3 linked regions of the Daphnia pulex genome follow. The protein of the gene in region 1 purifies or fractionates together with the protein of each later gene. This does not show direct contact. Links are inferred from orthologs where the notes say so. Each region holds a gene or a part of one and is shown in the gene's direction. Other genes may lie near its edges.

The links.
Region 2: the proteins of eukaryotic translation initiation factor 4B-like (region 1) and eukaryotic translation initiation factor 3 subunit B-like purify together in Homo sapiens (affinity purification with mass spectrometry; 3 studies listed by BioGRID and IntAct, with this or other methods). This does not show direct contact. The link is inferred for Daphnia pulex from reciprocal best matches to the Homo sapiens genes EIF4B and EIF3B.
Region 3: the proteins of eukaryotic translation initiation factor 4B-like (region 1) and eukaryotic translation initiation factor 3 subunit A-like purify together in Homo sapiens (co-immunoprecipitation; 3 studies listed by BioGRID and IntAct, with this or other methods). This does not show direct contact. The link is inferred for Daphnia pulex from reciprocal best matches to the Homo sapiens genes EIF4B and EIF3A.

Annotation. Positions count from the first base shown.
Region 1 is NC_060026.1:16,025,309-16,029,061, forward strand, and holds the start of eukaryotic translation initiation factor 4B-like, read left to right. Parts: upstream 1-1,373; 5' UTR 1,374-1,616; coding exon 1,617-1,629; intron 1,630-1,900; coding exon 1,901-2,038; intron 2,039-2,111; coding exon 2,112-2,281; intron 2,282-2,355; coding exon 2,356-2,472; intron 2,473-2,532; coding exon 2,533-2,773; intron 2,774-2,836; coding exon 2,837-3,289; intron 3,290-3,355; coding exon 3,356-3,641; intron 3,642-3,705; coding exon 3,706-3,753. Other genes in the region: V-type proton ATPase subunit F-like, read right to left, coding at 525-554, 615-737, 798-880, 951-1,032, 1,106-1,156. UniProt on the Homo sapiens protein: Required for the binding of mRNA to ribosomes. Functions in close association with EIF4-F and EIF4-A. Binds near the 5'-terminal cap of mRNA in presence of EIF-4F and ATP.
Region 2 is NC_060026.1:9,963,767-9,967,519, reverse strand, and holds the start of eukaryotic translation initiation factor 3 subunit B-like, read left to right. Parts: upstream 1-1,424; 5' UTR 1,425-1,549; coding exon 1,550-1,682; intron 1,683-1,760; coding exon 1,761-1,956; intron 1,957-2,021; coding exon 2,022-2,328; intron 2,329-2,409; coding exon 2,410-2,805; intron 2,806-2,872; coding exon 2,873-3,120; intron 3,121-3,181; coding exon 3,182-3,426; intron 3,427-3,487; coding exon 3,488-3,657; intron 3,658-3,718; coding exon 3,719-3,753. Other genes in the region: DNA-dependent protein kinase catalytic subunit-like, read right to left, coding at 1-106, 226-415, 486-664, 734-842.
Region 3 is NC_060026.1:6,108,985-6,112,737, forward strand, and holds the start of eukaryotic translation initiation factor 3 subunit A-like, read left to right. Parts: upstream 1-1,288; 5' UTR 1,289-1,730; coding exon 1,731-1,779; intron 1,780-1,899; coding exon 1,900-2,099; intron 2,100-2,164; coding exon 2,165-2,313; intron 2,314-2,374; coding exon 2,375-2,609; intron 2,610-2,677; coding exon 2,678-3,586; intron 3,587-3,679; coding exon 3,680-3,753. Other genes in the region: zinc finger protein jing-like, read right to left, coding at 57-499. UniProt on the Homo sapiens protein: RNA-binding component of the eukaryotic translation initiation factor 3 (eIF-3) complex, which is required for several steps in the initiation of protein synthesis.

The DNA of each region.
Region 1 (3,753 bases):
CCGGAGGATTCTATCTAATCAAGTGGAAAAAGATGAAAATAATTTATGATTCCGTCTTAACTTCGACAGGAATTGGTTACATCTTATCACGCTTGATGATCACGTTGGCAGGTGTCATAGCAACTAAACTTCCTTCAAAATCTTTTTCCTTGCACAAATTTGGGTTTTTTTAAAGAAAATATTCAACAGGCTAAAAAATCCAATTACGTACTATACTTACTTTTCCTCCCAACAAAGAAGCGCTGATTGATAAAAGATCTCCCAAGTTGGCCCCATCTTTTCTGACGTGAATCTCCTAATTGGCTAAACTTTCTTTTTGGGGAAACGAGGGGGTCGATAATTTCAATCGATTGCCGGAGCGGAAAGTTGTGTACATAAAAGACTGTTGATTGCTCTATTTAAGGTTCAATTAACAATGAAGACTGGACAGGAATGCATCAAGGAAAAAGAAAGAAAAACACCCAACAACAAACAAAAACTAATTGGGGAATATATTCTACGCGCCGATGGCAGTAGGACTTTTATTACTTGGTGTCTTCGGCGCTAAACATTCCCTAGAAAAACGAAAAGAAATGATTTGATCAGTGATTATTGAATTAAAAATAAAAACACACCTTGGCACGACGGAGAATGGAATCTTTTGACGCGTCGTAAGGATGATCTTTGGAAGGAATTTCGAGCACTGCTGGAATTGGTTCATTGTGGTTGTCAATCACGTGCCTGATCATCTCTGCTACCTGAATGATTAAGCGAGGAAGTGAGCAAACACGTAATCAATTCATTCCATTCAAACTCACATTCTGGTTGATGAGAATGATGTCAATGTCATCTCTCTTGAGGAAGCGCTTGAAGCAGTCCTCCACTTCGCTGATGCTCGTATCTGTATGAAGCATAACAAGGAGAAAATTTTACTTCATTCTCCCACCTCAAAATCTCAAGTTGTTTCGTACTCTTGTCTACGACCATAAAGTTGGGCTGCCTGTTTTTGTTCATCTCTCCAATGCCACCCAAAAGGAATCCAACACAAGTGTCCTGCAATTAATCATTGTTTTTTAAAATTTGGAAACCAAATGAAGTTCGATAAAATCATTTTTAATATATTTACCTCATCACCGATGACGGCTATAAGCCTTCCTTTCGCTGCAGCAATGGCCATTTTTGTGTATAGTAAATTGAAAGAGAACTAAAGTGAATTGAGCTAAGACTTCTCTTTCTAGTTTCTAGTCAAAAGGGAACTGTCACATGACTCGTGAAAAAAAAACACACCGACTTTCAATCGTGAATCGATTCATTTTATTAATCGATAGCAGCAGAAGAAGCCATCCAACGCCACCTCGTGTAGATTGGTGGCAACTACATTTACATTCGTTTCGGCAACTAGATATTCGAGGCAGAAAACTTGTTGGCTTGGGTTCGGCAACCAATATTAAATAACAAATATTTCGTAAACTGCTCATTTTAGATACTGAAACTAAATCAAAATTGAAACAGGATTTTTAAACTTCTATGATTTAATTGTGTAAAAAAAATTACGTGACAAACATAAGAATTGTCCAACGAGTCCCGTCCTCTAGCTCTAGTAGTCCGCGCACTGACGAGTGCATTCAGAAAAAATCATGGCTGCTTCCGGTAAGGAAAAATTTCTCCTCGTGGCATTTTCTTGATATTTACTGTTTTAAGCTCGATAAAGAGACCGGTGATGTCGAATAATTGTTTTCCATAATTTCGTCTACGTCGTGGAGTAATTTTTATTTTTGTGGTAACAATCGGATAAAGTGACGTTAGAAATCTTTCCGGTTAAATTCACATGTGGCACTTGTTCGCTTCTGATTTGTCGTGTATAGATTATTAAAAATGGTGCCTTGAATAATGATGTGAATTTTTAACTGTTGAATTTCAGCCAAAAAAGGGAAGAAATCCAAAGGAAAGGTCCTGTCATTGAATGAGTTCCTCTCTGACGACCATGGAGGTTCCAGGTCTGGAGAAGCTGTCGTCATGGCACCCTCCAAAACCAGTTGGGCTGATGAAATGGAAGATGGCAAGTCAAATATTTTGTTTTAATACGCTGACATATTGAGTATCAACAATGTAATTTTTTGTTTTATTTGTAGAGGCGATTTACAAGGAGAAGCTGTTGTTGCCCACAGCACCACGGGCAGCCAGGGGATCAGACATTGATGAATCTAGGATACCCAACAATGCACCTTACACAGCTTATATAGCCAATCTACCTTATGATATTGAAGTAGAGGATGTATCCAAGTTCTTCCATGGGCTTTCGGTAAGAAATTGCGCTTTCACAACAGCAACTTTTTCTCTACTGATATTTCATACTCTTTTTTTCTGGTTACCTAGGTTAAATCTGTCCGTCTGCCAAGAGAAGGTGGTGATGGTGGCAGACTGAGAGGCTTTGGTTATGCTGAATTTGAAACTAGGCAAGATTTAGTTGACGCCCTTACGATGAACGAATTGGTAATTTTGCAAATTTTTCTATTTGACCTTGTAGTGTTTCCATTTGTCCTTGTTTTGCAGATGATTAAGAACCGCAAAATCCGAGTGGACATTGCTAGCGGCGCAGATGGTGATCAAGAACAGGGCGCTGGCGGTATGGGGCGAGGTCGTGGCCGTCCTACTCGCAATGACGAGGAAAGGGAAGATCGTACCCCTTCCGATTGGCGTAATGCACCAAGGGAGGGACCTCCTCCAGGCCAGGATCGCGGTGGTGGTGGTGGATTCAGGGGTGGTGACAGAGGAGGAGACAGGATGGAACGAGGTAAATTTGATTCAACAAATTTGATTTCCCAGCAATGTCTTTAACTATTCTGTTTGAAATTAGAACCTGCTGGCGAACGGTACTCTGCTTCATTCAATCCAAGGGATCGCCCACCCGGCTCAGCTCTTTCGTCTGAGAGAAGTTCATTTGGTCCCAGGAGAGACGGTCCTTCTAGTTCGTTCGGTGGCGGCCGAGACGGTCCTCCAAGCTCAGGTTTTGGTGGTCGCGATCGCGATGGTCCTTCATCTTTTGGTGGACGTGACCGAGAAGGCTCGTCGTCGTTTGGAGGACGAGATAGAGAAGGTGGCTCATCTTTTGGTGGACGTGATAGAGACGGTCCGTCTTCATTCAGTCGCGGACGTGACGGTCCTTCTTCGTTCGGTCGAGACAGAGAAGGCGGCTCGTCGTTTGGACGTGACCGGGACGGTCCCTCCTCTTTTGGACGTGAGCGAGATGGTCCCTCGTCGTTCAACCGTGACGAAATGCAGCGAAGTGAACGCCCAAGCGCTGCTGGAGGTAAGTTGACACGTTCTCCCTTTTTGCATTGGATTGTTAATAAGATTTTTCATTTTGATTATTTAGAACCGACCAAGGAAAGACCAAAGTTATCTCTGAAACCCCGATCTGTCCCAATTGAAGAGGGTTCCGTTGCCGATGAACCAACTGCTGCTGTTGCTCCCATAACTGAACGGCCAGCTGCTGCTGCTGCCCCAGCTCCAGCGGCTCCACCCAGCTCTGCATCCATTTTCGGTGCAGCCAGGCCGGTGGATACTGCGGCACGTGAACGCGCCATTGAAGAACGGCTCAAGGAGAAACAGATGAAGGAGCGGGAACCGCCTCTCCGTGGACGTGAAACTGATCGCCAAGAGTAAGCTCATTCAAATGTTTTATTTGATTCTCGAAACTTAATTTGTTTGTTTTTTAAATTTCAGTGATAGAAATCAACGCGATAATTCCCATGGCAGTGGTGGCCGTTCCTC
Region 2 (3,753 bases), about 6.1 Mb from region 1:
TCAAGTTCATAAAGGAGTTGGTTAATGATGCGACTGGCCTTTTCCTTCAGTGTACTAGGAAAGTACTGGGCCAGTCTGCCTAGGAGTACTAGGAAATTCATTTTCGCTAAAGTAAAACATAAATATTATAAATAACCATAGAAATACATATCTATGCATACACAGTAATAATACAATCTGCATAACAAACAGGGTAATTATACAATAGTCTTTTTAATTAATCACCTTTGCTTGAACTATCATCAGAAGATGTAGCCATTTTTTCAAAAAGCATATTAGAAAGGGCTGGCAAATTCAGTTCTTCTAATATTTCTGTTGGTGAAGTTTGAGCAGTAATAACAACTTGGCAAAGAACAAAATAACAAGCTCCTCGTATCTTAGAATTTTTGGAGTTCATGTACATCAATGCTAAATTCTTAAGGTAAATGAAAGTTATACTATTAGGTTTTTACACATAGCTAGGTAATATTAATTATTTTCCATACTTTAATAACCACTAAATGGTTGCTCATGGATTCTCCAAATTTTTCCAGTAAATCACCCAAAATTGACAGGGCACAATTTATTATTTCTGCAAAGTTGTCATCCTTTTGAGAATCTCTGAACTTGGACAACAAGGAAATTAATCCAATTTCTTTGTTTAGTAAAGCCGAGACAACAGAATCTTTAGAAAAAATACAATGTAAATGAATTGATTAACATGTTTTTGATGGGACCAATATTTGAAACCTACTGTCTTTGGTTTTGGATACAACATCTTTAATATCCTTGATTTGCTCCAGCATATCGCTGCACGTTCCAGAATGCATCTGAAATAGATAACCTTCCAATACGCTGTCCATTTTATATTCCTCGATGTTACCGACAACCGGACACTTTTAAAAGGCCAACTTCTTCTCGATTATTCGCAATTTTTACGACTTTAAAACTTTAATCATACATATTTAAATGTTAAGACAAGTTTTCAATTGTAGTGGTTCTTCAAAATTTTGCGATCAACGTTAACTCACGTAGGTTATAGGCCTAAGTGATGTTTTCATCCCTCCCGGGTTATGATGATTCGGCTGCTAGAATTGTGCTTTTGCGTAGGCATATTTGCCATGACTGATAGTTAGGCGTAATACATATTTGTAAAATATTCGCTATCATGGTTTTAAAATATCATTACGTTACTTTAAAAATATTTAAAAAAATTATTACCAACTCATTCCTCAAATGGGTATAAGGATTCAACTTTTTTGGAAATGAATAAATGTAGGCTATTTTCTGAAAACAAAAAAAAATCCAATGTATGATTATAATGCGAATAAAAATCAAGAAAAAATAATAATAATAAAAAATCTAAATTATTTTCCCTTCAGAAGATCCCGTTCTAGCTGACAGGCTAGGCTAGTCACCAAGTTACCTATGGTGTTTGGTGAATGGTGATTGCCTGATTGGTGGATGGTGGTTGCCTTGGCCTTCTCGATGGTAGTATTATTTGTTGAAATCTGGCACAGGCTTCCGCCATTAAAGACTCGTGTCCGGTGTGCAGTGCTTGTTTTTCATCATGGCTCGACGAAAAGAAAATGATCGAGCTCAGCAAAATAACGATGACTCGGATTCTAACCCAAACGATGAATTAGAAGACGAGCCCAACTTCGATGATCCGGAAGGTTATGAGGACGATATTTCTGAAGAAGGTACCGTTTGTAACTTACCTTTTGCCATATGGCTTTCCTGAGCATGCCGGCATTGAATCTTGCTAACTGTCAATGTAGATCTTATAGGTGACCTCATCAGGCAGCGTCCGAAAGAAACCGACGGAGTCGAATCAATTGTTGTTATTGACGGTGTTCCTCAGGTTGGTACTGAGAGGATAGAAAAACTTCAAAATGTCCTGAGAAAACTATTCCAAAAGTTTGGAAAAATAACTAATGAATATTATCCTCTTAATGCTGATGGATCAACTAAAGGGTAATTTATTAGTTTTTTTTTTAACTTTTGTGTCAGCCCAATTTTAACATAATATACTTTTGAAGCCATGTTTTCATAGAGTACTCAAATGCCAATGAAGCATTGGAAGTTCTTAAAGGAACTAATGGTTACAAGTTCGACAAAAATCACACCTTCACTGTGAACTTACTTACTGACTTCGAAAAATATAATGACATTCTTGATAAGTGGGAAAATCCAATTCCTCAGCCGTTTAAGGAGCAAGGATGCCTTCAATACTATCTTCTTGATCAAGACGCTTGTGACCAATTCTCAGTTGTGTATGAGCAGGGAGACAAAGTTGCTGTTTATTTGAACACTCAACCTGAACCCTCTCTGCTGGAAGAAAGACCTGTGAGTCACTTCACCTTTATTATTATTATTATTTTTTTTTTTCATATTAAAATTTTATCTGACCAATAATTATCTTCACAGAGATGGACTGAGACTCTAGTGCGGTGGTCACCTCTTGGCACCTATCTAGCCACTTTCCATGCAAAGGGTATAGCTCTTTGGGGTGGTGAAAAGTTTCAACAAATTGTGCGCTTCAGTCATCCAGGAGTGCAATTCATTGACTTCTCACCATGTGAGAAGTATTTAGTATCTTTTAGTCCACTGGCTGATTCAAGAGCAACTGATGAACCACAAGCCATCATCATTTGGGACGTGTTGAGCGGTCTTAAGCGACGAGCTTTTAATGCCGATAAATCTCAAGCCCTGCCCATTTTTAAGTGGTCGCATGATGACAAGTATTTCGCTAGGATGGGAATCGACATGCTTTCTGTTTATGAAACCCCATCATTTGGCCTTTTAGACAAGAAGTCGATCAAAGTAACGTACACGATTTACAAAATCTTCTAATAACCATTTCCTAACATGCACTCTTACATTTTGATAGGTTCAAGGAATTCGAGATTTTGCCTGGAGCCCAACAGACAATACGATTGCTTATTGGGTCGGAGAGGAGAAAGATACTCCTGCTCGCGTCACACTTCTTGAGTTGCCAAGTCGCAATGAAGTGCGAGTCAAAAATTTGTTTAGCGTTGCCGACTGTAAAATGTATTGGCAAAAATCAGGTGACTATTTGTGTGTGAAAGTCGACCGCTATGCCAAATTAAGGAAAGATAAGTCCGATATCAAATACAGGTAATGAGATGCCACTCCTTCAATTAATAGATATAAAAGCTAATTTTCCCCCCTTTGATAGCGGTATCTACTACAATTTGGAAGTTTTCCACATGCGAGAAAAACAAATTCCAGTCGACTCGGTAGAAATCAAGGAAACCATTCAAGCTTTTGCGTGGGAGCCAGTTGGTACTAAGTTTGCCGTCATCCACGGTGAGCCACCGAGTACTTCTGTTTCTTTCTTCGAAGTTAAAACTGGACAAACGCCTACGATGGTTAAAAAATACGAACGTAAACCTTGCAACCAGTTGTACTGGGCCCCTTCTGGTAAGAAAACATTAAATTTAATGTTAAAATTCTAAAATCCTTACTATACTTTATCGAACAGGCCAGTTCATTGTGTTAGCCGGCCTACGTGCCATGTCTGGCACATTGGAATTTGTCGACACCCATGATTTTACCGTCATGAATACGGGCGAACACTTCATGGCTACTGATGTGGAGTGGGATCCAACCGGTCGGTATGTCGCAACTGCTGTTTCCTGGTGGGGTCACAAGGTAACAAAAATCAAGCAATGTATTCATTTTTGACAATGTTTGATCTCTTGTACTTTGACAGGTCGATAATGCCTACTGGTTGTGGTCCTTCCAAGG
Region 3 (3,753 bases), about 9.9 Mb from region 1:
AATTATTTCATTTGTGTTATTGTTACTTTCATTAATTATCTTTTAGATTTACTGACCTGTCTGAACTTTCTGAACTGTCGTATCTATCTGAGCGCCGACGTTTCTTTTCATCATTGACGAGAGCCGATGTTATGAGTGACCGACGTTGTTGACCATCAAAATGTTCGTTAACAGACATTTCTCGAGTTTCACCACCACTAGTCAGTCGGATTGCTTCATACGCCCGTGAATTGCTTCTAGCCTCATCGGCCATCTTACTCTTTTTCTTCTTGTCAGAATCCGCTGTTTTCTTTGTTGTAGAGGCCGCTTGGTTGTCTAACGGCACGTTGCCCGTTGCCACACCATCCATTATTCGACTGGGTGACGATGGATGCAAGCTGCCACAAGCAGGGGTTTTCACGTTAGTAGTAGAAGAACTATCGTTTACATCGTTGTCTTTAACTTTGGATTGATACGAAAGAGTCACAATCTTTGCTGATTCCAACGCTGAATCTGCCATCTTGAATGACGCTAGGAAAAATCCTCTACCACGACTACACAAACCAGTCCCTATTTGACACTTCAGACTACACACACACACACACACACGCGATTTAAGGGTACCTCGACTATCCACAATGCCCACCCCACACAGAGAAAAAACTCCCAGCGTAGAGCACTCTAGCGGTCGAAAAGCGAATATTTTTAATATCTCGTTTCGTTCCTAACTTTAAATTGATTTAGTGTAAAGAGGAATAAGAAAAAAAACTTTGTGTGTCCATAAATTTTGCATTTTTTTATTAAGTAACAAAAATAACAAAATACTATATTGCTGTGTTTGAGTTTCCTGCAACTTCAAGCGACTTCAAGGCATCTGAGAAACAGGACTCCTGGTGTTATGTTGATAATTCCTCATAGAGGGCCTTGCTATCTTCCGGCGCTACTGTCGGAAAAGTTTTCAAGTATTTCCAATTGTTGATGAATTGCCTAAATATTGAAAGATTGCAATCATTATGTAAATAGAAAAGAATCATACAGAATTACAGATCTTATAAAAACAAACTGACCGTTGAATGCGTCCAGACCTGTTCTGTATCTGTAATCTGTATCCATTGTTTTTCAATTGGTCTACTATATTTTGATGGCCTTAAAGTTCTCAGTACACACCAGGGTTGCACGCATCTATTTTTTTACACTCGACCAAGTATTTTACATGTCTGGAATAATGGGACATTTTGCCAGAACCTGCCAGAACAAACCTGGTAAATTTGTTAACAAGAAAAACAAACAACCTAAGAAAAAACGCACAAGTTTTTTTCCTGTTTGGGGATGAAAATTAATGAAGATTAGAAAGAGAGCCCGACCATCTTTAATGTGAAAACATCCAAATATAAAACAAAAGGGTATTCTAAGGTGCAACATCATGGGTAGTGGTGGGCATCGACATTCGCAATTCGTAACAAGAAGCAAATATGTTACTAATTGCTGCTAATTGTGGAAAAAGTTGTTGAGAATTGTAAAATGGCAACGCAGAATAACCTAGGGACGATTTCTATCAAACACATTGCAGGGCCATGCGCTTTGTGGCCCGTAGCTGAAGTCAGCTTGAATAGTTAACCAGTTAACCAAACCCAACCACAGTTGTCTAAAAACTTGGACGGCCATTTTCTTGCCCCAGCCACGTTGCTTGAGCAATTGCCAGCGAAGAGAAGCGTTCTGATTGCTGATCGACGTGTTATGAGAATATAAAAATGTCGCGTTTCTATCAACGACCTGAAAATGCACTCAAAAGAGCAAATGGTCTGTATTTTGTTATTCACGAGTACTTTACTAATTACTACTCAAGTTGATTTCTTAAATGTTGTGTTCACCGGTTTATATCGCTCGCTTATTGACAAAATGCTGTTACTTCTGTTACAGAGTTCATTGAAGTGGGGAAACCTATTCGAGCCTTGGATGCCCTAGCTGAAGTTATTAAGAGCAAGAAATATCGGTCAACAACTTATTCAGAAAAAGTGCTAGAACCCATAATGATCAAATACTTGGAACTTTGTGTGGATTTGAAAAAGGCGTACATGGCTAAGGAAGGCTTGTTCCAATACCGTAACATGTGTCAATCTGTAAGGATTAACTTGTTTCATGTTTTCCTTCTAACAAACTCATGATGATTGTTGTTTATTTACAGGTAAATGTTGCATCATTAGAAAATGTTGTACGATTCTACCTTAATTTAGCTGAGGAAAAAACAGAAGCAGCACGTCAAGAATCCCATCAAGCTGTTGTGGATATTGATGATCTGGACAATGTTGCTACTCCTGAAAGTATACTTCTGAGGTAGTCAATTCATTGCATTTTTTTCTGGTTGATTATGTTATCATGATTTCTTTGTGCTCAGTGCTGTCAGTGGAGAAGATGCCCAAGACAGGTCTGACCGTGTGATTTTGACTCCATGGGTCAAATTTCTTTGGGAGTCATACAGACAGTGTTTAGAGTTGCTTCGAACTAATTCAAGGGTTGAGAAACTGTACCATGATACTGCTCAACATGCCTTCAAGTTTTGTCTGAAGTATGCTCGGAAAACCGAGTTTCGTAAGCTCTGCGAGAATCTAAGGTCTCATCTTGCTTTGATGGTAAGAAAATTATTTTTTAAATTATTATTTGTTTAGAAATGTGTTAAAAGACAATATTTATATCATAGGTGAAAGGAACCCCATCTGTAACTGCTGTTAATTTGAGTAATCCTGAGACTCAACAAATGAATTTGGAAACCAGACTCTTGCAACTTGATTTCGCCATTCAAATGGAGTTGTGGCAAGAAGCATATAAAGCCATTGAAGACATTCACGGATTAATGATATTGGCTAAGAAAATGCCCCGTCCTCAACAAATGGCTCAATACTATCAGAAAATTGCCCTCGTTTTCGGAAAGTCTGGAAATCATTTGTTCCACGCTGCAGCTCTGTTTCGGCTTTTCCAACTGTCACGGGACTTGAAAAAAAATATTACGACTGAAGAACTTCAAAAACTTGGATCGCGCGTACTTGTTGCAACTTTAGCAGTACCATTACCCTCTGCACACCCTGAATTTGATCGTTTCATTGAAACCGAGAAAAGTGCTATGGAAAAAACGCAAAAACTAGCTACTCTTCTTCATTTGAATCAGCCTCCTACACGTAATGGATTGATTAAAGATTTGGTTCGCCTTGGTGTGGTAGCTACTGCAATGCCTCAGTTGCAGCAGTTGTATCATTTCTTGGAGGTAGAGTTCGACCCATTACATTTATGTAACAAAGTCAAGAACATTCTAGCGTTTATGGCCGAAGTCGAAGAGACATCTTATTTGAACCAATATATTCATGCCTTGGAAGAAATCACGCTTACCAGATTGGTAAAGCAAATAGCCCAGCTCTACTCGACTATCCGATTCGAACGTTTGGTGCAATTGGCTCCCTTTGCATCTCCATTTGACTTGGAACGCATTGTTGTTAATGCAGTCCGTCATACCGATATGCAAATAAGGATTGATCACCGTAACAATTGTCTTCACTTCGGCACTGAATTATTTGAAGCTCAACGCGAAGATTTACCAGAAGGACCGACTCTACAGGTAGAAATGTTAAAAAGTCATGACCAATGAAATGTTAGCTTTATCTTTTTTTTGTGTTTTTTTTAATTCTTTCTGATTTTATAACTTTTCTAGGCTATGCCTTCTGAACAGATACGTACGCATTTGATTACAATGTACTGCGTTCTCAACAAAGCGACAATTGCTGT